2 linked regions of the Ovis aries genome follow. The protein of the gene in region 2 purifies or fractionates together with the protein of the main gene of each other region. This does not show direct contact. Links are inferred from orthologs where the notes say so. Each region holds a gene or a part of one and is shown on either strand. Other genes may lie near its edges.

Region 1 (3,646 bases), about 130 Mb from region 2:
GAGAAAGTAAGGGGAAGGCTTATCAGGAAGTGTTGACACAACATAAACACGGACTGCAGGCACCAAACCAGCTAAGGAAACCACAATTACACCATTCTTGATCTGGATGTACTTCCACATTCAAACTTCCAGACGGAAAAGGTGGTGGTGAGATTTGACACTGAAATCTCTCAAACTCACCCCTCAACAAAACCGCTGAAAGGTGGGGAGGAGAGCGGTCGTCACACTGGAGACAAATCTTAACAACATTAAAGCACTCTCCATGGAAAGTTTCCCCATCACTACCTTTTTTTTTTTTTCCAGTAACAAAGATGTTGTCAGAAATGACAATTTTTTGTGTCCCCTGATGATGCCTTGCTAGCATTTGGTTATAAGCCATAAAGCAGGACTAATTTCAGCCTGTCAGGAGTCTTGCTAATGCCCAGTTTCCCCCTAGAGAGAATTCCTGTCAAATCTAATGAGAGCTCCAAAGGCCCTCTCTACAATATAATGAGCACTTAGGCCATGCTGGTGATCAGGCGGCAAAAAGCATCAATTTGAGCCTGGCTACACCCTGGGGGCCAGACGTCACCAGTTTTAATAAGAATTATGATTACTAGCTGCACCAAATGCCTCCTCAGAACTTATTATTAATGTGTGACATTCAGAAGGATGTTTTTCAAATGTAAGGCCACTTTAAACTGAATTACAGCACGGCTTTGCATACTACTCTAGTTAAGGGTCTGTCAGCATTTACAATACAAACCAAATTTCAGGGGGCTTAATATCCTACTATGGAGAACACAACATCTCTCAGCTTTTCACATTTTTCAAATTACTGAGCCAATTATACACAGCATATTATTAACGCATACTGGCTCATGAACAGACAGTATATACCCACAAATGCCCAATGGAGTCCAGAAACTCATTAGAAAACTAGTTTCACACCATGGGGCTCCTGATCCTCCTTCTCTCTTCTTCCTTTTGATAGAGGTCCTCCACCAAGTAACCTACAGGAACCCAGGAGAATTTCGCACCTCCCGTAGCTCCCCCAATAAATCCAGCACCAATACACATCATACAGAGGTGGCGTTCGCCTGTACGGAGTCAGTGAGGTTATTACATCCTTTGAGTTATGAGTTTAAGAGAAAGCTCAATCTCCTCCTTACCCTTCCAGAAAATTTGTTGGGGGGAAAAAATGTGCCTTTAGGGTAACTTTAAAAAAACAAAGCGGCACATTAGAACTCCTCCACCAAGTTTATTTGCATAATTCATTTAAATGACCATATACCTTTTAGTATAATTACTATCAACAAGTTACAATTGCCTCAATCAGGCACCGGCCCCTTTAAGCACACAGAAACAAAGACACAAACCCAACAGAAACTAGGCTACCAACTTTGCAAATCAGAATAGAACTGGCATTTTTAAAGGCCCATTACATTGCTAATGAAAAGCCTTGAACTTAACCATCTCCTTCCAAACACATATCTAAGAATAGACCTAAGGTACATGATGATAACATAACATTATGAAATCTATGATGAATTAAAAATCAAAGAGTGCGGAGTTACAAAAGCAGAATTCAACTCTGAAACACACTTGCTTAATGAAAGTCTTTGAATATAAGGAAGATCTGAAGGCTGAACTAATCAATTTCTCCACTGTGCCCCAGCCGGTCAGCCATGCTCTTTAATTTAATGAAACAAGGGTTTGAGATGAAATAGCACATATACATCAAGTAAGAATTGTATTGTTGCACTTTGAAATGTGTCCAACTGTGCAACTTCATCTGATGATAATTTTTTAAGAGGCAATCGATTTCTAAAAGACTTATTGTACCAGAGTCTTGATGAAAAAGTGAATGTCAGCATATCTCCAGAATACTTACACCCTGCCATTAATGCTTTCTTTGGCAGACAATGACTACTCAATCGAGAGTCCTTTGGGCTGAGCAATCATTTAGCTTTTCTTCTCTTATGAGGTCCTTAGTGCCTTGTTCCAGCTCAATACTCTTTTTATACACCATTATTGTAGCCATAAGTGTGAATTTTATGGGAACTTGCAAACTCATAGTCATAGCTTGAGCTTTCCAGTCACTAATCTTTTCATGCTTTTAAAACCACTAGGACTGAAGCAACTCACAACATACGCTGTGGTCATAAAAGGATGCTTTTTTCACCTCCAAACTTGTATCAACTGAGACATTTATTAAAAAGTTGTTTGCAAATATGCCGCTAATCCTGAGTGTCGCTTTATGCAGCCCCCAAAACTCCATAGTCTGTCTTATACCTTGTTTAACCTGAGTAAAGAAACTCCTGATTACCCGTCTTTCCCCCAAAGGGCCACACTTCTTTCCAAATCAGCACAAAAACGTTAGCTATTCTGAACTTCAGAACTTGACAGGATATCCAGGTCTTCCAAGAGAATAAATGTATCCAGGCAGTAAAGTCAAGTCAAAGCCTCGATTCCAATCTGCCTATAAACAGGCTAGTTTACACTTCCAAAGCACCTCTCACCTAGTAACTTAAAACATTTTATAACTGTCAAGAACCAGCTCTTGCTGCAGAACACTAACCCCCAATTCGCAGGAAGGGAAACCAAGGCTGAAATATGGCATGCAGATACCTCCCACTACAGAGGACAAAGCCAGTACTACAGAATCATGACTTTATTTCTCATTTCAACTTGAGACTTCACTAAAGCTTACCTGTTTATGCATTTCTATGTTTAATCCATATGACATTTCATAATACTGTAAAAAGAAAAAAGAACCAAGTATTTCATTAACTCATGTTCTGTAATGCCGAGAACACATATTTGTTACTATTACATGACAACGGAAAAAAACCTAATCTTTGATACCTACCATCACATAGTGCCTCTGCATTTCTGTCTTTTCACTTGCCAGTTTCTCACATTCCAATTTAAGGCTACGAAAACAAAACAGGCAACTTAATGTAAACATTATGTCACTTGTTTTAACATCTGCCTCACATATTTGCACTTCAAGTAAAAACACAGACCAATTTGGAAAAGCCATAAACTATCTAGGTAAACACCCAAAAGCTTTGTCCTTGCATTAAATGGGGAAAAGGAGTAAGAGGAATAGTGCAAGGTATCCACTTAAAAACTAAGCTTTTCCTTCTTCATGCACACCTGGTCTGATGCCAAGACCAAAAGATCTGTCAAAACCTCTGATCTACTCAGAAGACTGAATTCTCCTCATGGTCATCTATTCACTCCTACTTGCTTCACTGCATCAAAGTTCGCTTCCCTGGACTTAACCAAAATCTGGCCTTTGTATAACCTTCAGTCTCAGGCATAGGCTGTGTCACCTCTGCCAACTCAGTCTCTTGGTTTGAAAACTGTACCTGTAAAGTTACTTCTACAATTGTTGGTCCCTTTTAATACCTTTATTTTTTAATTCACTGCCAAAATATGTCATATAGCTTCTGCAATTAAAGTGGGCTGACATCCTCCCTTCCTGGCAAACATGGTGTGGGCAGGGATGCTTCAAGCTCTAGAGATTATTATCTTCAAGTAGACAAAGGTCAATAATCAGAAAGCCTCTGACAAAAATAAGAAAGTTCACACCCAAGCAGCTGTGTGCTTTCTTGGGGGCATGATAAAAACAAAACCTGTCATTACAGTTATTTCTTAG
Region 2 (4,427 bases):
TTCCCTGAGCTCAAAAGCCAGGGCCTCGGGGGTATCCGCACCCTGACTTACTTGGCTCAGGACAACTGTAAGGTGCCCGGACCGCTCGACTCTGGCGGCCAGAAAAGGACTCTCTCGCGCCCTCTGGACCTGGCTTAATGGCGGCGGGACAGCTCCTAGGGGTTGTCAAAGGTCCCGCCAGGGAAGGGCATGGGTACGGAAACCCCGGGAAGGGCACGCAGTGCAGCCGGCCAACATCCACTACAACCCTACAAACCTAGCTAGGCGCAGCTGGCCGCTGGCGTTTGCTACTTGTGAAAAATAAACCGCTCCACTGAAAGTAGCCAAATCTACGTCTGTTTCACGTCTCCGACCACCCTCGGTTCACCTCTCCCCACCCCACACCCCCCACTCCCCAAACACACACCATATACACACAGACTCCGACAGTGATAGCACTCTTTCACCCTTAATAACGAGCAAGAAAAAGCTAGAGCGAGAAAATAAACGGCTGTTTCTTAGGCATGGGGGTTGCCAAAAGAGCCGATGCCGCTGCCTCCTGATCCTGCGCCTGTACGGACGCACTCATAATTCTGCATTTCTCCAACAAGTTGTTTATGGAGTTGTCTATTTGCGTACACCCCGCAATCCACCCCTTCTCGGTCTCCTTTGCCCCTTCCTCGGTCCTGGCCTGAAAGAGGGGGAGGGGCTCGGGTGCGGATAAGGGAGGGAGGGCCGGACACACGGGGCCCGCGCCGCGGCTCCCCCTCTCCGCCCGCGGCCGCCGCCCCCGGATTATTTATCCGCAAAGTCCCGCGCGCGCCTATTGGGCCGAGGCCCGGGTGTCAGCGCGAGTCCTGGCTCGCCATTGGCCCCGCACACGTGCGGCCCTGACTCACGTGCTTCCGGTTTGAAGGCAAAAAGTGTGCCTGGGTGATTTTTTTTTAAGCGAGAGAGTTTGAGCAAAGATCCGAGCTGTCAGAGATTTGAAAAAAAAAAAAAAAAAAAGCAGCCCCGGCGCTGGCGGAGACGCGCTCTCCCTGCAAAAAAAGCAAAGGCGATTAAAGGCGCTGCCAGCCTCGCGCTCTGGGCACAGCTGAGCGTGACACTCGGGGAAGTCAAACCCCTCACTACTGCCTAGGAAAATGGCTAGACTTTAAAGACTATTTTTTTTTTTTATCTTTAAGAAAAAAAAATTCTTGGAGATTTTTTTCTTGCTTTTTCCTTTCCTGTTTTTTTTTTTTCTTTATTTTTAGCCGTGGCTTACTCCCCATTTAAAACAAATTGATTCTGGTTGCAGAAAGAAAAAAGAAATAGCCAAGTGTCTCCATATCTGGATATCTACAAATTAGAGAGAGACAGCGAGATCTGCTCGATAAGAGCGAGAGATCCAGGCCAGGCGCCTGGGCTTTTTTTTCTGCACCCGCCCCGTGCCTTCGCTGGGGCTTTGCCGGCCTCCTTCCTCCGCACACCCCCACGGGCCGCTGGCAAAGTGGGGTGGGGAGCGAGGCGGGGGGGGCGGGGGCCGGCGCGGCGGCCGAGGCGGCGGGGCGGCCGAGCATGGAAGAACAGCAGCCGGAACCTAAAAGTCAGCGCGACTCGGGCCTCGGCGCGGCGGCGGCGGTGGCGGCGGCCCCCGGCAGCCTCACCCTGAGTCTCAGCCCCGGCGCAAGCGGCAGCAGCAGCAGCGATGGAGACAGCGTGCCGGTGTCCCCACAGCCTGCGCCCCCCTCGCCGCCCACGGCGCCCTGCCTGCCGCCCCTGGCCCACCACCCGCATCTCCCCCCGCACCCCCCGCCCCCGCCGCCGCCGCCGCCGCCGCCGCAGCAGCAGCAGCATCTCGCGGCGCCTGCTCACCAGCCGCAGCCCGCGGCCCAGCTGCACCGCACCACCAACTTTTTCATCGACAACATCCTGAGGCCGGACTTCGGCTGCAAAAAGGAGCAGCCGCCGCCGCAGCTCCTGGTGGCGGCGGCGGCGGCGGCCGGAGGAGGCACAGGCGGAGGCCGGGTCGAGCGTGACAGAGGCCAGACCGGCTCAGGTAGAGACCCCGTCCACCCGCTGGGTACGAGGTCGCCAGGCGCCGCCTCACTCCTGTGCACCGCGGACGGGAACTGTGGCCCACCCGACGGCTCCCCGCCAGCCACCGCCGGCGGCGCGGGCGCGTCCAAAGCTGGGAACCCGGCGGCGGCGGCGGCGGCAGCGGCTGCAGCAGCGGCCGTGGCGGCGGCGGCGGCGGCGGCAGCAGCGGCCAAGCCTTCGGACAACGGCGGTGGCAGTGGAGGCGGCGTGGGGAGTCCAGGTGCGCAGGGTGCCAAGTACCCGGAGCACAGCAACCCGGCCATACTGCTAATGGGCTCAGCCAACGGCGGGCCCGTCGTCAAAACTGACTCGCAGCAACCCCTCGTGTGGCCCGCCTGGGTCTACTGCACGCGCTACTCCGATCGCCCGTCCTCCGGTGAGTACCCAGCCCTAGGCTGCGCGGTGAACAGGCAGACGCCGGTAGAACTCTCAGCCGCCGGGCTGGGGAGAGCGTGCGGGCCGGATCCCGAGGGTTCTCTTTTCTCACGCCTGCTCTCTCATTTTCACCTTCGATTCCAGTCACTACCGACTGTTATACCGAGTTTTGCGTTCCCGGGCTCTGCGACTACCACCTGGGAGGTTACGGCTCAGGGTTACAGGGAGTGGATCCTTCGATTTTGAACTCCGAGCCCTTCTCGCCTTCTTTGTGTTTTACCTTTATTATTCTTAGTAAACACCCAATCAGTCATTGCTTTTTCTTCCAGGAAAAGGGGTTTTTAGAATCAGCGGGAAGGTGGGCCTAGCGATCTGGGTCTCAAATCCTGCGGAGGCCGAAACTGAGCAAGGCTTTGATTAGAGAAATTATCTTCGCTTTGTGTCGTTGCAGACATAAACACTGTATCGATATTTTCTGCGGAGAGATCATTTGCAAAGAGATAGATGTAAGGAGACACAGGAAGAAAGAGAAACGTGTCTGATAGCTGTCCTTCTTCGGCAAGCCGGGTAGCCAAAAGGGCCTGACCCGCCTGGGTAGAATCCAGGGAAAGGCGGTTTCGGAAACAGCGGGTGCCGAGAGCCCCTGGCTCCCGATTCTCTGGAACTGACAGATAAACGAGGGAGAGGACAGAAAATACCTTAGGCTCAGGCCAGAGACCTGGGCCGAGGGCATGAGAGCCAGCCCCCACCTCAGCTTCTCCGTGGCCGCCTGGCACATCCTCCCGGGCCCTGCCCCTTCCTTTTTTCACTCCTTCCTTCCGTACATCTGCCCGTTAGCAAATTTCTGCCAGCCATGGGCCCATTTTTCTCAATTTTCCTTTGGCCTTTCCCCACATACCTCTTTGAGTTTGGAGAACCCCAGGCCGAGAGGTACTCAGGGGCAGCCACGAGGCCCCTGGAGAGGAGGCTGTGGCCTGCCCGCCTCCGGGGACCGCAGCTCCCAGGAGGCTGATGGGCGCCTCGAGGAGGGCGGCAGGGGTTCTGGTCTACGATTGGGGTTCCGCGCCTGGGTCTGGCAGGAGGCCGGGCTGGCGTCGCCGTGTGGCGCTCCACTCCGAGTGGTCTCTGACTTCCCACCGCTGCTGGCCGGGCGCGGATCGATGAGCGCTATCAGCCCCCGCCATCTCGAGCCCCGTTATTGACACATCGGGCTCCCTGAACCTCCGAAAAGCTGCTTTGATTGACTCGCCTGATGGATAGAGTGATTGAGCTGTCAGGCTGTGCCGCTCAGGCTGGCCAGGAGGCTACGATTTTATTACAAGTGTTCATGCCTCTGCAAGGGCACCCATACACACAGTAACAACAACAACAACAACAAAACAATTGCAACAATGCTCTAACAACCTAAGGGATGCCCGTCTCACAATGGGGCCTTTCTGAGGTTGCACACATTTCCTGGGCCACTTCTGCTCGACCAGCTAATTACTAACCTAAACCAAGGCCTTCCTGGCCCCTCACCCCGCCTCCCAGTGCTTTCTGCATCGGGCTCAGGAGTGGGCCTTGTCTTTGTTCTTGGCTGCTTTCCTTCTTACAAACCTGGGGAGGCAGGGTGCTGGTTTCTAATCCTGCAGGGGCAGTTGAGGGAGAGGAACCTCAACCCAGTCTTGAGTTGCGGTGGTCGGCCAGGCCTGGACTCTTTTGTCACAGGACAGCTGGTGACCCCTGGCGCTGGACTGCCCCAGAGGCCAGCTGCCTGGTTTACCCCTCTGCCACTAGGTTTGGAGATGCCGGTGCAGACCCTTCTTTCCAGACAATTTTAGAGGTTAACAGGCCAGATAGGGACTTCGCGCAGCTCGGGAAGCTCCCATAATCATGACAGGGCCCAGCAAGTAAATGCCAGAGAAGACTTACTTGTGGAGGCCTCTCTTTTTCCTCCTCTCTTCAGGGCTGGGCTTCATAGCCAGCCCTCTTCCCAGACTAGTTTTTGAGGG

Evidence for each region. The genes of interacting proteins can lie anywhere in the genome.
Region 1: the proteins of EN1 (region 2) and transducin-like enhancer protein 1 purify together in Homo sapiens (affinity purification with western blotting; 4 studies listed by BioGRID and IntAct, with this or other methods). This does not show direct contact. The link is inferred for Ovis aries from reciprocal best matches to the Homo sapiens genes EN1 and TLE1.

What each region holds. Positions count from the first base shown.
Region 1 is NC_056055.1:55,247,862-55,251,507, reverse strand, and holds part of transducin-like enhancer protein 1, read right to left. Parts: intron 2,916-3,646; coding exon 2,852-2,915; intron 2,738-2,851; coding exon 2,693-2,737; intron 1-2,692. UniProt on the Homo sapiens protein: Transcriptional corepressor that binds to a number of transcription factors. Inhibits NF-kappa-B-regulated gene expression. Inhibits the transcriptional activation mediated by FOXA2, and by CTNNB1 and TCF family members in Wnt signaling.
Region 2 is NC_056055.1:184,154,636-184,159,062, reverse strand, and holds the start of EN1 (homeobox protein engrailed-1), read left to right. Parts: upstream 1-1,497; 5' UTR 1,498-1,539; coding exon 1,540-2,437; intron 2,438-3,334; exon of another isoform or gene 3,335-3,460; intron 3,461-4,427. UniProt on the Homo sapiens protein: Required for proper formation of the apical ectodermal ridge and correct dorsal-ventral patterning in the limb.